2 linked regions of the Canis lupus familiaris genome follow. The protein of the gene in region 1 interacts with the protein of each later gene in a pairwise test. Links are inferred from orthologs where the notes say so. Each region holds a gene or a part of one and is shown on either strand. Other genes may lie near its edges.

Region 1 (7,797 bases):
ATTTCAGCTGTCATCTTTGCAGAAATTGATCCTAAAATTCATATAGAAATTTGAAGGACCCAGCATAGCCAAAACAATTTCAAAAAAGAAGTTGGAGGATCCACTCTTTCAGTTTCAAAACTTGCTACAATATTATAGTAACCAAGGGATGCCTGGGTGGCTCAGTGGTTGAGCATCTGCCTTCGGCTCAGGTCATGATCCCGGGGTCCTGGGATCCAGTCCTGCATCGACTCCATTCAGGGAGCCTGCTTCTCCCTCTGCTTATATCTCTTCCCCTCTCTGTCTGTCTCTCATGAATAAATCTTTAAAAAAAAAAACTGTAGTAGGGGATCCCTCGGTGGCTCAGCAGTTTAGTGCCTGCCTTTAGCCCAGGGCGTGATCCTGGGGTCCCAGGATCGAGTCCCACATCAGGCTCCCTGAATGGAGCCTGCTTCTCACTTTGCTTGTGTCTCCACCTCTCTCTCTCTCTCTCTCTGTCTCATGAATGAATAAATAAAATCCTTAAAAAAACTATAGTAATCAAGACAATGTAGTACTGGCATGAGGACATATACATCAATGGAAAAGAATTGAGAGTCCAGAAATAAACCCTCACAGTTACAGTCAATTAATTTTATCAAAATTAAAAATCACAAGGCCTGGCCAAAGGGAGTTGGGTGGGCACAGGGACGGGGAAAATGGGCATGGACCCTTTGATGTCATATTTCTTTGTGACTCTGAAGTCTGCTTATTTTCAGTCCTCTCTATTCAAAAAAAAAAAAAAAAGGATGCACCCTTCTTAAAAGCAAAAAGCAGAGGGAGAGAGATTCCTAAATTAGAGGGTTTAAGGACACTAGAGTGTTTCTTGAGGAATGCGAGAGATGTTCTGCAGTCCTCAGAAGAACTGTACCCTTTCCACTAAAGTGGAATTTCACTGCACCCATTTGACAGGTAAATACCTTTTGTTTAATAAATATGTTTCACATTTCTTTGCCATAGCAATCAGAGTAATTGCATCTGATTCATATTTTCCTAAAGCTTAGGCTCACACCTTGACTATTAATTATCTTGTCCTTTGAGAGTGAAGCCTACAAGGCCCATCAGCTCATCCAGGACTGTTTGCCCCTACATCCAATGTCTCCAGGATGTTGAGCTTCTAAGTCCATCAGTCTGCCTTTTGCATTTTATTCCTGTTAAATGCTTTTAATCCTTGCTAAACTCAAAGTGATTGCTTTTCCTCTGATCTTTCTATAATCTATGGTTGCTTGGAAATCAGATAACATTCATTAAAAATATCTGAACTATATGGGGCACCTGGCTGCCTCAGTCAGTAGAGCATACAACTCTTGATCTCAGGGTCATGAGTTTGAGCCCTATGTTGAGTGTGTGTGTGTGTGTGTGTGTATGCACATACATGTATGAAATAAGAGAAAGACGCTATATGAAGGAAACTTTGAGTTCTCTCACAGAGACAGAGAGAACAGAGACAGTTTATGATTCTATTGAGAGAGTTTAGTGAGAGTTTCTTAACCTCAGTACTACTCATTTTGGGAAGAATAATCTTTGTTGTGGGAGTGTCCTTTGCATTGTGGGATGTTTAGCAGCATCCCTGGCCTCTGCTTGCTAGATGCCCAGAGGACCTCGCCCTAGTTGTGACAACCCAGAATATCTCCGCACACTGCCAAATATCCCTGATGGGCAAATCACTCCTTTCAGGATACTTTTCAGGGATACTTGTATCAATCACTCTAGTTTTTTTCCCTGTGTTTATTTTTTATGGTTCTGTGCAGTTGCGGTTAATATGTTCATTTATAGATTATCCTAACATTTCATGAAAAATGTGTGTGCCCATACTTTATTAATGGAAGCATAAATGGGACCTCCCCTTGCCTCAGGATACTCAGGAGGTAAACTGTGTACAAATGTCACTAGCGTACAGGGTTGTCCTGATTCTCAGCAGGAGCCTCACACACTCTCCAGACCCTCTCTAGCCCCAGGCTGAGCACCACTGCCACACACAATTCCCCAACCCTGCTACTCCCACACACAGAATGCCACCACCCCTGAATTGGGGTGTTTGTCATCTCCCCCAGCCACCCCTCTGCCCAAGCTCTTTGTTGAGCCTGTGGTGCTCTCCATCCACACTGTACCACCAAACACTGCCTGTCCCCCTAGCCTGGCACTGGGCTTTCTCTGGGCCTCTCCTCTTTCCTGGTGCATCTATCAACCATTTTTGGCCTGAGCCAAAATGGCCTTTTGGCACGGAGCAGCCTGGCTCTTGTTGCTGGCCAATCTGTTCTGTGTAGTACCTTTCTCTCCTCACCGGTTATTTCAATTCCTGGAAGGCAAGGCTGACTCTAACGAGGAAGCCACTTCCACTATGCTCCCACCCCCAGCCCAAGCCTCGTGTCAGGCACCCAACAGCTCCTCAAGCCCACTACGTTGTACTTGGCATTTAATCCCTGCCCAACGCTGCTCTTCCCATCTGGTTTCCTAATGCTCTTCCTAACACCCCCTGCTCAGGAGCTTTGCCAACCCCTGTCCACCTGCCAGTTAACATTCTCCCAGGTTCAGCTCCAAAAGGTGTCCTTAAAGGGGCGCCTGGGTGGTTCACTTGGTTGAGTATCTGCCGTTGGCTCAGGTCATGATCCTAGGGTCTAGGATCAAGCCCCAGTCCAGCTCCCTGCTCAGCAGGGAGTCTGCTTCTCCCTCTCCCTCCGCTCATGCTCGTTCTCTCAGATAAATAAATAAATAATTTTTAAAGTGCCCTTAAGGTAGAATTAAATCTTTTCCTCCCTGCCAAGAGCCAATCTTCCACCTCTGCCCTACACACATCCATTAATACCTGGCACACGATCTTGCACCTTAAATTAGATTGAACGTGAGCCTGTCTCATCTCTCTACCCACTCACACCCGGCCAGGAGCACCCTGAGGAAAGGGCCTGAGAGCTGTCTATCCTTGCCCTCACAACCCTCCCTTCGGGGCCTGGCTGCCCAGCATTTATTCTGAGTTCGTTGAATACAAAAGAAACAGGATGCACAGGTGTCCCTAACCCAGAAGCAGACATCCTGTAAACGCCCTGGAGTGCACCCCCTAAGGGGCAGCTCCCTTCGCCGGCCAACGCACTCCGGGGCCACACCACCTCGGGAAGACTCCGCCAGGCGCCCGCAGCCCGGCCGAGCCCGGCCAGGACGTCACATGATTCTCCAATCACATGATCCCATAAAACAGTGGAGGGGGGAGGGTGGGAAGCGAGAAGAAGGGAGGGACGACCGCGAATTGAGTAAGAAAAAAAAGCAGAGCTTTGCAGGCTGGCCCCGCCTCTACCGTCGAGCAGCAGCCAGTAGGAGCGCGACAGCCCGGACGCCTGGCCAATGGGAACGGAGGTGGGCGGGCCGTCGCGCCGCAGGCCCTAGTCCCGAGCTGCCCGGCCCGGCTTCGCAGCGAGCGCGGGGCCGGTCACAGGTAAGGAGGGTGGCCGCGCAGACCTCTCGCTTCCTCGGCAGTTCGGCCGGGCGGACGTGAGGGCTTGAGGCTCGTCTGGAGTTTCAGCCGGGAGGCAAGAGAAGACTGGCTCAGAGAAGCTCCTTTGGGGCTTTCCGATGCACAGGAGGCAGTTTTACGGGGGGCCGGGGGTAAGCAGTGATTGCAGTGACCCCCACGAGAAGGGGGCTCTCTCCCTCTCCAGCGGCTCCGGAAGCTGCAGCCCCTTCCCCAGAGCAGGGACCACCCCATTCTTGAGCCGGCTCCGGGCCGGTCCGGGTGCTGCTGCTGGTGCTGCTGGTGCTGCTGCTGGTGGTGCTGGGTGGTCCCCGGGGCACTGGGAGCGAGAGAGGCGCGCGCCCTGGTCCTGGAGCTCAGAGGGCTGCGAGTGGGCTGGTGGCCCTGCCCCCTCCAGGGTAGCAGGGCCGGGGGGGTGGTGACCGAACGCGGGGGTTGGGTCTGCCGCTCCCGTACTTCCTCTCGTGGGGGGTGGGACCAGCCAACTTCCGCCTCTCCCGGCCACTTTTCCTGCTCACTCGCAGTTGGGTTGGCTCACCTTTTGGGAATCTCTCTCCTGACGCTGGGAGTTGGGGGCTGCCACCTAGTGGAAGATGGCAGAGCTGGGGGCTTGGAGAGGCTCCTGTCCCTCTCTACCTTGGGAGTGGGGGGTGGCGGGAGAGAGGTCATCCTTGGTTGTGAGTGTGTGCGCGCGTCTGTGCATTGGTATCCACTAGAAGCACACGCTGTACTCCCTAACTTTAGGATGCCAAAGACTGCCCCGTGGTCCCAGATTTGTGCAGACAGGCACCTCTTCCGGCCTAAGCCAGGACAAGGGACAGCCTACGGAAGGTTGAGGTGTGACTCCCAAGAAGTAGGCGGGACGAGTCTTGCCTGGAGCTGTGAGTGTAGAGGAGAGGGTGAAAGGGGCCAAGGTATAGGACCAGCCAGGCGGTGTCCCCTGGAAACGGTCTCTGAGCTGGGACTGGGGCCGCGAAGAGAGCCAGGTGAGGGAGAGAAGGATGCAAGTGACTGGCTGGGTGTAAGTCGTCGCCACACCCAGTGTGCAGTGTCCACACAGACTCATGGGGGAACTGAGGCCCCAAGACAGCAACTTTTGAGGCTCTCACCATCAGTGGTGGCAATTCTAGGACTAGCACCCCAGTGCAGTATCCAGCACCCCTGTGCTTCTCATTTCTGTCCTGCCTTGTCCACCTGCTCAGAAAATGCTTCTGTCTCCCTCCTCTGCTTGGACCCCAGGCCTCTACTCTCCTGGGGTTCAGGGGTCCATTCCTGGGCACTGTGCATGGTGCCACCTGGTGACATGAACCCAAGTCTGGTATGCTTTGTAGCTCTCAAAGCCTGTCATCTCCATGACTGGATATATGACAAGGGCATGTTACCGAACTTCTCTGAGCCTCAAAGTAAAGGTAATTAGTACTTTGGATGGCTGTTGCAAAAAAGAAAGAAAATAGGATAGAGTATTGTAACTGGCCCGGGAAAGGCTCAACAAACTTTTTTTTTTTTAAGATGTTATTTATTTATTTATTTATGAGACACAGAGAGAGGCAGAAACACAGGCAGAGGGAGAAGCAGGCTCCTTGCAGGGAGCCTGATGCGGGACTCGATCCCCAGACCCTAGGATCACACCCTGAGACAAAAGCAGACACTCAACTTCTGAGCCAACCAGGCATCCTGAAGCTCAATAGACATTACTAGTCTTGCCCCTCCAGGCAGGGTAACATCTTCTGGGCCCATCCCATTGAACTAGTAGGGCTGGCTGAGCTTGGAATACTCATTTAGGAAGTCAGAGGTTACTCCCCAGAGACTCATGATTGGTTTCTTCTGCTAGTGCAGCTGTGTGAGTGCATGTGATCTTCTTCCTGTACTGCTGAGTTTCAGCTTCCGGGTAGGGGGTCGGCAGGGTTTGGGGGTGGTATGTTTGGGGAGTCTTAAAGGGCCTGGTGGTGTTGGGGGAGCCCAAGGGCACAGGTGTCTCAAAGGCTGGCCCGGCCTGTGCACCCCTTCCCTGGGTGGTTGGGGACAGCTGGGGGGGTAGGTATGGCTGGCCTCTGGGGTAGGCAGCCCAGATTCCACGGGCTACCACACTTCCCTTTTTTTTTTTTTTAATTTATGATAGTTACACAGAGAGAGAGAGAGGCAGAGACACAGGCAGAGGGAGAAGCAGGCTCCACGCACCGGGAGCCTGACGTGGGATTCGATCCCGGGTCTCCAGGATCGCTCCCTGGGCCAAAGGCAGGCGCTAAACCACTGCGCCACCCAGGGATCCCCACACTTCCCTTTTCATAACTTTCTCAACACCCTGGTTTCCCACGTCATCATGTGACACCCCTCCCCCACCCCACACAGGGAGGCTTCTGGAGGGGCTGGCTGGGGAAGTGGAACCCCAGCTTTTCTTCAAAGGGGGACTCCCTCTTTGCCCCCCAGCCCAGTCCTCCCATGGCCACTGATGCCTCACCCACTCCCTGGAGGTGCCCCATGTCCCTACAGATCAGACCCACAAACCCCACAAATTTTCCTTTCACAGACTTACATCTTTTTTTTTAAGATTTTTTTTTTTTTAAAGTATTCTCTGCACCTAGCATGGGGCTCAAATCTACAACGTCAAGATCAAGAGTCACATGCCTTGTTGACTAAGCCAGACTGGTGCTCTCATACGCCTACATCTTTACACACTCACCCACAGATGGAGACATTTGGCCACATTTTGGGGACACAGATCGACACACATACTTGGTTGTTTTTATCTTTTTTTAATAAAACAATATTTTATTAATTTATTTGACAGAGAGAGCACAAGCAGTGAGAGTGGCAGGCAGAGGGAGAGGGAGAAACAGGCTCCCCACTGAGCAGGGAGCTTGACACCAGGCTCCATCCCAGGAGCTTGGGATCATGACCTGAGCTGAAGGTAGACATTTAACCAAGTGAGCCACCCAGGCGCCCCTGACATGCATCCTTGTGTCAGCACTTCTGTCCAGGTGCTGTTACACATATGATGCACATGCAGGACACATATAGGAAGCTGGATCTTGGGCCTCACATCTTTCTTCCTGCCTCAACAGGGAATTGTTGGAGAGGCTCAGGTGGTATCTGGCACGGACCTGGGGGAGTGACTGGCCCCAGAATCAAGGGTCACATGGGCTTGTTGAAGCTAGTCGCCAAATGCCTCTTGGTGTTTTGCAGGCAGACCATGTGGACCCTGGTGAGCTGGGTGGCCTTGGTGGCCGGGCTGGTAGCTGGGACACAGTGCCCAGATGGTCAGTTCTGCCCTGTGGCCTGCTGCCTGGACCCAGGAGGAGCCAGCTACAGTTGCTGCAATCCCATTCCGGTGAGCGCCCTGCAGCCCAGGCAAGAGCTGGCAGCCTGGCATTTTCCAAAGGGGCATCTTGGCATGGCCAGAGAGAGGGGGCAGGCTTGGGTCCTTCATTTTGCCCTCTCCTCTTGCTTTCCAGGGCAAGTGGCCCACGGAGCTGAGCAGGCATCTGGGCAGGCCCTGCCAGCTAGATGCCCACTGCTCTCCTGGCTACTCCTGCCTCCTCACGATCTTGGGGACCTCCAGCTGCTGCCCGTTCCCAGAGGTGAGGGTACCATTAGTTCAACACGGGGGCTCAGGTCAGCATTTAGACTTTCCCTCCACTCACCCCAGGTAAAAGGGCCTAGCCAATGTTGGCGTCTCTGTGTCCCACAGGCCGTGTCGTGTGCCGATGGCCGCCACTGCTGCCCACGAGGCTACCACTGCAGTGCTGATGGGAGGTCCTGCTTCCAAAGATCAGGTGCGGCAGGGGTGGAGGTGGAGGGCAGGCAGATGGGCAGCATGCAGAGGCTGGCCTGCCCAGGAACCCCGCCAGCTGGGTGACCTGATTCCTGCCCTTGTGCCCTCATTCTCGTGGCATCTGTACTAAACAACCCCTTTGCTTGTGCTGGACAGAGGGGCAGCACCAGGTTAGGAAGGGGCGGGAGAGGATGCCAGACTCAAGGCCCAGCGCCAGGCATTCTGAGGATGGAGAGAGGTCAAGCTGGGCTGGTTTAAGGCCAGTCTAGTCACTGGATGCCCCTCCTGGTGCCATATTGCCGCAGCAGACTGGCTTGTGGGGAGAGTGGGTTAGGCGTGCCTGGGAGAGCACTGAGCCCAGTGCCGGACCCCGAGCCCCACCGTGCTGGGCCTGGAGGCTCTGGCACAAGCAGCTCCTCGAGTGACGGGAGTATTGGCCTTCCCTGACTGGGTTGGCGGAATCCTGGGTCATCCTGTCCACAGATACCAACCCCTTGGGTGCCATCCAGTGCCCTGACAGCCAGTTTGAATGTCCCAACTCCTC
Region 2 (7,693 bases), on another chromosome or scaffold:
CCATACACGCGATACCCGTGCACACATGTGCACACTCACATGCACACATGGACACCAAAAGCACACATATGCACAAGCGTACACATCTGTGTGCACACGCACCTCACACACTTGAAGGCACATGCCTTACACGCACAAGCACACACAGCAATACACACATCACAGGCACATAAGTGCACGATGCAAAAATGTGCAAACCCACACACGCTCACAGACCTGTGCACTTACACATGTGCACACGCACGGCCCTCACTAGCCGGGTGGAGCTCCAGCTGTTTCCTCAGCCTCTGCCACCGCTGCCGGCAGCTGGCCGGACCCCCTGGACCCAGCTGACCCCGCCCTGGGGCCCAGACAAGGCCGCTGAGACTCGTGCTGGGCGTCCTGACCCGAACACATGCCCGCTTGCCTGCGTGGCTGCCCAGCTCCACGCGCCGGCTTCTCCCCTGAGGGGCTGTAACAGAGGCTGGGTCCTTGGCCCTCTAAACTGCCCTTTGGACCGCGGGAAAATCTGAGCAATGGGTTCATACCAGAGCATGCGCGGTGGTTGTGCAGCTTAACAGGCTCTGCCTTTCGAGCCCAGGACCTGACGTCCGCAGAGTGGCGGGAAGTGTGGGCTCCTGGCCTGAAAGGGAACTAACTGCAGACTTCTCTTCAGCACTGGGGAAACGGAGGCTGGGGCGAAGTAGCGGGATGACGCGGCTCCCGCTGCGCTTCACCTGCACTCCTGCCCCTGCTCACCCTGTGCGCCGGGCTGGCGCCCACGGGCCTGCAGCTCGCTCCCAGGAGTTCCCGTCGTCCTATGACACCCAGGCCTTCCCTGCCCCGAGGAAACCACAGACAGGATCCTATTACTGTAACTGAAAATTAATGGACTGCCGGCGGCGGTTCTAAAAGAAAAGCAAATTGTCTGAATAGTTTAGGTGGAGTAATAAAGGGCCGCCTGGGGGCCCAGCGGGTGTGCGTCTGTCGGCCTTCAGCCCAGGGTCCCGGGATCTAGTCCTGCATCCGGCTCCCCAGAGGGAGCCTGCTTCTCCCTCTGCCTGTCTCATGAATAAATAAAAAAAATTTATTTTAAAGATGGAGTAATAGAATGTTTCCAATTTGTAGCTACGCGTTCTGCAGCACTCACAGCTTCACCATCCCAGATTCTGCTCTGCTCAGCGAACGCTTTCTCCTGTCGTCCGGACACTGCAAGAGCCTTGAGGTGGAGGAAGGAGCTGCCGTGTTGCCCTATCCTTGGAAGGCCCCCCCTCTGGTCTTGGCTCCGGGACGTGTCCCTTGCTCTGGGGATGAACCTCGCCCCAGACCTCCCGGAACCTAGGGCAGTGGGTGATCGTGATCGACTTTCATGCTTTGTGATCAGGAAAATGAACATTCAGCCTCCACTGGTTGTCTGCTCTGGCTGCTGCCCAGTGCTGGTCCCAGTTGTGCCGTTGCCAGGACAGCCTCCGCTCCCCTCCCCTCCCCTCCCCTCCTCTCTGCCAGCATCCGCTCAGCCTTCAGAGCCCACCTCCTCCAGGAGGCCACTGTAAATGCAGCACAAGGCTCTCACTGTCTGAACCTGGGGAGGCAACACTGCTGACCCCAGGCTCTTGTGCTGAAATCTAGTCTCGTATTGCCACTGTGTAGACACTGGTGTGCCCGTCATTCCCGTCATTCCCGTGAGTGCTTCTGGCTCCTTCCTGAGGGTTTCCTCTGGCGGCAGGAGGGTGCTGGTGCTCAAGCCAGCACAGGCAGGTGGGGAGTGCTGGGAGGATGAGCACCGGGGCAGCTGTCAGCCAACAACCAAGGGAGATGCTGCGACCCCACCGTGGGCCCACAGAGGCTGCAGTGGAGCAACCGTCTTACTGTGGGTGGAAAAATAAATGGTACACACACACGCACACACACACACCCAGAAGACTGGCAACTTTGTGGAAAGTTCAAAGGACACCCACCCATCTCCCAGCAATTTTCCTTCTAGGGGACTACGCGAGAAAAATTGAAAATATGCCCTCAAAAAAGCTGGTAGGTGAATTTGAAAGCATCTTTATTCGTAATATGGAAAACTTAAAACTGACTCCAGTGTCCAGCAGGTGAATGACAAACGAGGGGGCTGCACTCAGTGGAATACTGTTCAGCGACGCAAAGGAGCAGTGGCGGCTGCTACAACACGGATGAGTCCCCAAACGCCGGCTGAGTGGACGACCCGGTAGGTGGCCCTTCTGTGCCAGGCCTGGGACGACCCCGCGGCCAGGGGGTCTTGGTTAAGCCAGCGGAGTGAGCCACTGGGAGGACACACTGCGTTTATTTACAGATGCCTACACTGGCGAGCTAAGAGGTGAGGACCCAGCGCCTACGGTGGCTGCTGCGACCCATTGGTCCCTAATGGTGACCCGATGGCGGTGGCCGCCCGGGGGTGCATCCGTCAGGTCATGGCCCTGGACATCTCACAGACTGTGCTTACACCTTAATAAAAACGTTACACGTGATCCTTCCAAAATCCACAAAAAAGCACCGAGTGCAAAGCAAACCGAAAATCATTTGCGGGTCCCCTCGTCCCGGGACCAGCTCTTCTAACAGGCTCCGCCGCTCTGGGCCTCGCGACCCCGGTCCCGCCCCCACGGCGGCCCCAAGGGCGGGGGTCTCGGCGGGTCCGGGCACGGCCCGGGGCTCGGTCCCTCCCAGGCGGGTCCCCCCCGCCTGCGGCCGTCCTGCTCCCGCTGCACCGCCCGCTGCGCTTCCGTGTCCGCCGCTGTGGGCGGGCCTCCCGCGGCCCCGGCGGGACCCTGAGCCCGGCCCCCGCCCCGCTCCAGCCCCGCGGTCCGCGACGCCGCCCCGCGTTCCCATGGCGACGGGGGCGGGGCCGCGCTGCCGCTCGGGGACGGAGGCGGAAGTCCCGCCCCGCCCCGCCCTCCCCGGCTTCCCGTGATGCCCCGCGAGGCGCAACGTAGCCGGAAGCGGGTGGCGGCGGGGCGGGCGGCGGGCGCGCGTCCCCGGAGCAGCCTGCGGCGCGCCCGACCGCGGACCCGACGGACCCGGCGGACCCCGGCGGACCCCGGCGGACCCCGGCGCGCGGGATCGAGCCCGGACCCCCCGGTAGGCGCGCGGCCCTTCGCCCCCGCCCGGGCCCCGCCTCGGGAGCGCCCCCGCAGCCCGCCCGGCCCCGCTCCCGCACGGACGGCCCCGGGGCCGGAGCCCAGGCTCCTCCGCCCGGCGGGTGCGGGGAGGCGGCCCGGGGACCCGCGCTGCTCGCCCCGCGCGTGGACGGTCCTCCCCGGGCCCCGTGGGGTGCGCGCCCCGCCGGAGGCTGCGGAGGCTGCGGCGCCCGCGGAGGGCCGGCCCCACGCTCCTGCGCGCCGTGCCCGGGCCGCGGGGCCTCCGCCTGGTGCTCGCTGCTCCGACAGCGGCTGTGCTGAGTGCTTCGGCCGGTCTCTGGGAGGAGCCCCGGGACCCAGCGGTGCCCCCGGTCATCCCGGGGACCCAGCCCGCGGGTCATCCCGGGGACGGAGCGGTGCCCCCGATGATCGCGGGACCCGGCGGTGCCCCCGCCCCCCCCCGTCATCCTGGGACCCAGCAGTGCCCCCTCCCCCCACGGTCATCCTGGGACCCAGCCCGCCAGACATCCCTGGGGACCCAGCGGTGCCCCCAAGTCATCCTGGGACCCAGCCCGCCAGTCATCCCGGGGACCCAGCGGTGCCCCCCGGTCATCCCTTTGAATCTCGGATGCGGACAGAGTCCCAACCCCAGGACCGGGTTCTGCAGCTCTTACAGGGCGGACCCGAGGAAGTGACCTCACTTGGTCAGCGTTCCCTGAAGTTACGGCCACTTGCAGGGAGCCACCTTTTACCACCTTGGTTTCAGGCACTAAAGAATCCTTGGATGGTTTCTTGAGATAAACCGTGTTTGCGGTTTTGAAAATTAGGACGCATTTCACGGATCCAAGTTAGCGTTTCAGGGAGTTGAAGGTCACGCCCATCAAAACTGGTCACCGAGGAGAGTTCATTTTCAATCCAGGTCATTTCCTGTTCACAGGTCACCTGCCGCTAGTTCTGCAGACTTTGGCTCTGCCTGATTTTATTTTACACAATTAGAAATTCAGGGCACATTCAACCCAGTTCTGGCTCTCCTTTGCTTGGTGCCCCTTTCGACCAGGATGTGAACCTCTGAGGAAAGGCACAGTTCTCTGGACGGACCAGGGGCTGGGCATGGAGACCCGATGGGGCAGGTTCGCATGTCAGCCCCGTGCAGCAGCCTGCAGAGGGCTCTCCGGTGGTCACCATGAGACGGACGTGTGCAGAGGGCTTTGTGAGTTCAGATCCGGCAGGATGGCCCCAAGTGTGGGTGTACCTGGGGACGCCCCCCGTGCAGCTCCTGTGCGGCGGCGACAAAAGTCGTTCACTTAAAGGAGTCCGGCCAGGCGCCCGTACTCGGGATTGTGCCCTCGGCGTCGGTAGGCGGTCTGCGTAGCACGGAAAACTGCGGAGTGCAGAGGAGTCGGAGCTGCACCTCGGGTCTCGTTTGTCAGTTATGGGAAGATAACCGCGTCTGTCGTCTTCAGCTGGCTTCTAGGTGGGCGCTGACAACCACGGGAGTCCCAACCGTCTAGGTTTAGAAAGTGTGGCTGTGCAGAGTCAGGGCTGCCACCCGTGACTTGTTCCCGCGGACTGAGATGACGGGTGAGGGACGGCGCAGGATCTCCTGGCTTGTTGAGGCTGCGTGTCCGTGGAAAGCTCCAGCTCCGCCGTCGGCGGGGAGGCTGGCTGTGCAGCAGGGCAGCAGAGCGGCTGCCTGAAATGTCCAGCAGCCGTGTGGGTGTCGGATCCGTGCCACTTCCAGGGTGCTGGCGGGGTCCCCGGCGGGTGCGTGCTGCCGTGAATTAGGGCAACAGCTCACAGGCGCCATTCACAAGTGAGAGAAGGGCGAGCTTCAGAGAGGCCCCCGCACAGTTGTGTGTTGGTGGTGGGAGAGGTGGCCTGAGGCCCAGGGCCAGGTGGTGCGTGCAGGACCGTGGGGTCGCTCTGCATCCAGCACCCTGCGGGCTCCCGTGCGCGTTCTCCAGCTTGAATCTACGTCGGTCTTCCTGGTCATGAGTCCAGTGCGCTGTTGCTTGAACTTGGGTTTTGCCGGAGCTGGGAGATTTATAAAGAGAAACGGTTTTTGTCTTCAGCCTGAGTTACGTGGCTCTTGTGCCCCAGCGTGTCCTTGTGAGGCATGGTGGCAGGTGTGCCCTGCTGTGGTCATGCTGTCGGTCACTTCCACCCTCCACGGGGGCCCCATGGAGGACCCACCTGTAGACCCGCAGGCCAACCTCTGCACACCTCCTGGTCACGGGGAGCACTTCGGCCCCACGCCACAGGCTGGGGAGGGGAAGGAAGGTGCCGCGCGCAGAGAACCTGCGGTTCCCTGTCCTCGAAGGTTGCTGGCCCGAGTCTGATACGTTGGCCCTTCAGGTGGGCGCCCGGTTTAGCAGCCAGTCTGTACGTTATGTAGAGGTCAGGCCCTTGCTGTGGGCTGCATCACAAGGTGGGAGGGACATTTTGTAAATCTGTAGTGTTGGCGGTTCGTGTCGGTTAGGCAAAGTGGACACCGATAATTACGTTATTCTTGGTAATTGCATTGTGTTTGGCCTGGAAACATCCAGACTGCTCTGGGTTTTTCTCCAGTGTGTAGAGGACAGATTCGTCCCATGAGTAGTTCCCTGATGCTGCCTGTAGTAAGCAGTGACGCTACCTCATAGCTTCCAGCAGCTTAGTGGGATTTCTCTGAAGCTATCTATGTGTTGTCGTGTTTTTGCACCAATGGGTTTTCTTGTAAAGTAACCTACTTGTAAGTTCCAAAATTTTGTTTTTCTTCTCTGCAGCATCATGGCCAGCCCAAGAACCAGGAAAGTCCTGAAAGAAGTCAGGGTGCAAGATGAAAACAACGTAAGCGTCTCTGCTTTGCTTTGATGCTTTGAGGTTTAGCAAACCTCCCGGAAGTTGCTTGTAGCCTCAGAGCTCTCCCTGCTGCTGTTAGGCTTGGGCCAGCCTCTCCTCTGCTCCTTCTTGGGGCCACCTGTCGGGTCTCTGGGGCTCTGGGCCCTGCCCCAAATGCCTGGGTGAGTTGCATGTGGCTCTTCCTGCAGGTGTGTTTTGAGTGTGGTGCATTCAACCCTCAGTGGGTGAGTGTGACCTACGGCATCTGGATCTGCCTGGAGTGCTCGGGGAAGCACCGCGGGCTTGGCGTGCACCTCAGGTCAGTGCCCTGCCCCTCGTGCCTTTTGGGCTCCGCAGGGATCCTGAGCCGTGGTCAGGGCCTGCTGTGGGCTGCAGGGTGACGGGGTAGCACGTGCTGCCTTGCCAGCTCTGCCCTCAGAGGTGTCACGGCCAGGTGCTTCTGTCACGGGAAGCTCATGCGTCGGGTTCACGACCTGGCTGGGGTGGGGGCTCCTGGACACCCAGTGCTGATAAGTAGGTTGGTGCTCTGGTTTCTAGCTTCGTGCGCTCGGTGACCATGGACAAGTGGAAGGACGTGGAGCTTGAGAAGATGAAAGCTGGAGGGAATGCGAAATTCCGGGAGTTCCTGGAGTCTCAGGAGGACTATGACCCCTGCTGGTCCCTGCAGGACAAGTACAACAGCAAGGCCGCGGCCCTCTTCAGGGACAAGGTAGGACCCGCCAGCCAGTGGTGCTGAGGCTCCGCCCATTGGCGGTTTGGGTGGCTCTGGGAGCTGGCGTCCTCCTGTGGGCTCTGCCACGCCTGCGGGGGCCGCGCACAGTCTGGGACTGCTGGGCACGGACAGGACGTGTGGGCTGTCTTGTCCCACCCCGGGGGAGGCAGGCGGTGTGTAGTTAGCCGGGGAGAGGATGGGCCTTTCTCCCTGCCCTCCGGGGGAGCATCGTGTGCTGGCCCCTCCGTACCGAGACCCCGTCCCCGTGTTGACATGTGACAGAGACCCTGGCCCGTGCCCGCTGAGCCTGGAAGGACAGCGAGCAGGATGGGCTAGAGTGGGTGACCTCGCCGATCAGTCCTGACGGTCCCGGCTTTCGAATCCCTGTGTCCCCTGGCAGGTAGCCACCCTGGCTGAGGGCAGAGAATGGTGTCTGGAGTCCTCGCCTGCCCAGAACTGGACCCCACCCCAGCCCAAGACACTGCTGTCCGCTGCTCACCGGTAGCTACTCCTCTGGCCTCTCGTCTGGGTCCCGGCTGTTCTGGGCCCAGCCCCGATCTTAGCCGTAGCTTGGGGCCCCTGTGCTGTTGTGGGAACGGCTCCCGTTGTGAGCTACTCCCAGGAGTCAGTGGGAAAACAGCTTCATAGGTTGTCTTAGCGATAGGGGTTTTCAGTAAAAGCGCCCCGGTAAGCTGTGTCTAGGGCCAAGGGGGCAGCTCCGCACTTCTCCATAGCCCGTTGGGACAGTGCTTTCAGATTCGAACCCATGACCGCAAGTTTCTGTAGGAAACGTCCCTGCTGGGTGGTGGTTCCATCCTTTGTCCTCCCGAGCACTACCCAGCCCCCGGAGCGCAGGTGTGGTGTGGACAGGTCGATCCCCACGGCAGACGTCCTGCGTCCTCTCAAGTGTCAGAGGCTGGTGATCTGCAGTGACCGGTCAGGGAAGGCTCCGTGTTTGCACCATGGGCGCCCCGGGACCCCCACCCCATGCCCGCACCATGCATCTCGTGGGAGCTCGGTGGGCCGCTGCTGACATGCCCGCTTCAGCACCCGGCTCTCCGGC

Evidence for each region. The genes of interacting proteins can lie anywhere in the genome.
Region 2: the proteins of GRN (region 1) and ARFGAP1 interact in binary tests that used the Homo sapiens proteins (3 or more experiments, as listed by UniProt). The two-hybrid records come from large-scale screens. The link is inferred for Canis lupus familiaris from reciprocal best matches to the Homo sapiens genes GRN and ARFGAP1.

The regions. Positions count from the first base shown.
Region 1 is NC_049230.1:18,955,786-18,963,582, reverse strand, and holds the start of GRN (progranulin), read left to right. Parts: upstream 1-3,292; 5' UTR 3,293-3,445; exon of another isoform or gene 3,446-3,615; intron 3,616-6,664; 5' UTR 6,665-6,671; coding exon 6,672-6,809; intron 6,810-6,933; coding exon 6,934-7,059; intron 7,060-7,169; coding exon 7,170-7,254; intron 7,255-7,736; coding exon 7,737-7,797. UniProt on the Homo sapiens protein: Secreted protein that acts as a key regulator of lysosomal function and as a growth factor involved in inflammation, wound healing and cell proliferation. Regulates protein trafficking to lysosomes, and also the activity of lysosomal enzymes.
Region 2 is NC_049245.1:47,830,432-47,838,124, forward strand, and holds the start of ARFGAP1 (ADP-ribosylation factor GTPase-activating protein 1), read left to right. Parts: upstream 1-2,962; 5' UTR 2,963-3,078; intron 3,079-5,842; 5' UTR 5,843-5,846; coding exon 5,847-5,906; intron 5,907-6,106; coding exon 6,107-6,216; intron 6,217-6,455; coding exon 6,456-6,627; intron 6,628-7,030; coding exon 7,031-7,131; intron 7,132-7,693. UniProt on the Homo sapiens protein: GTPase-activating protein (GAP) for the ADP ribosylation factor 1 (ARF1). Involved in membrane trafficking and /or vesicle transport.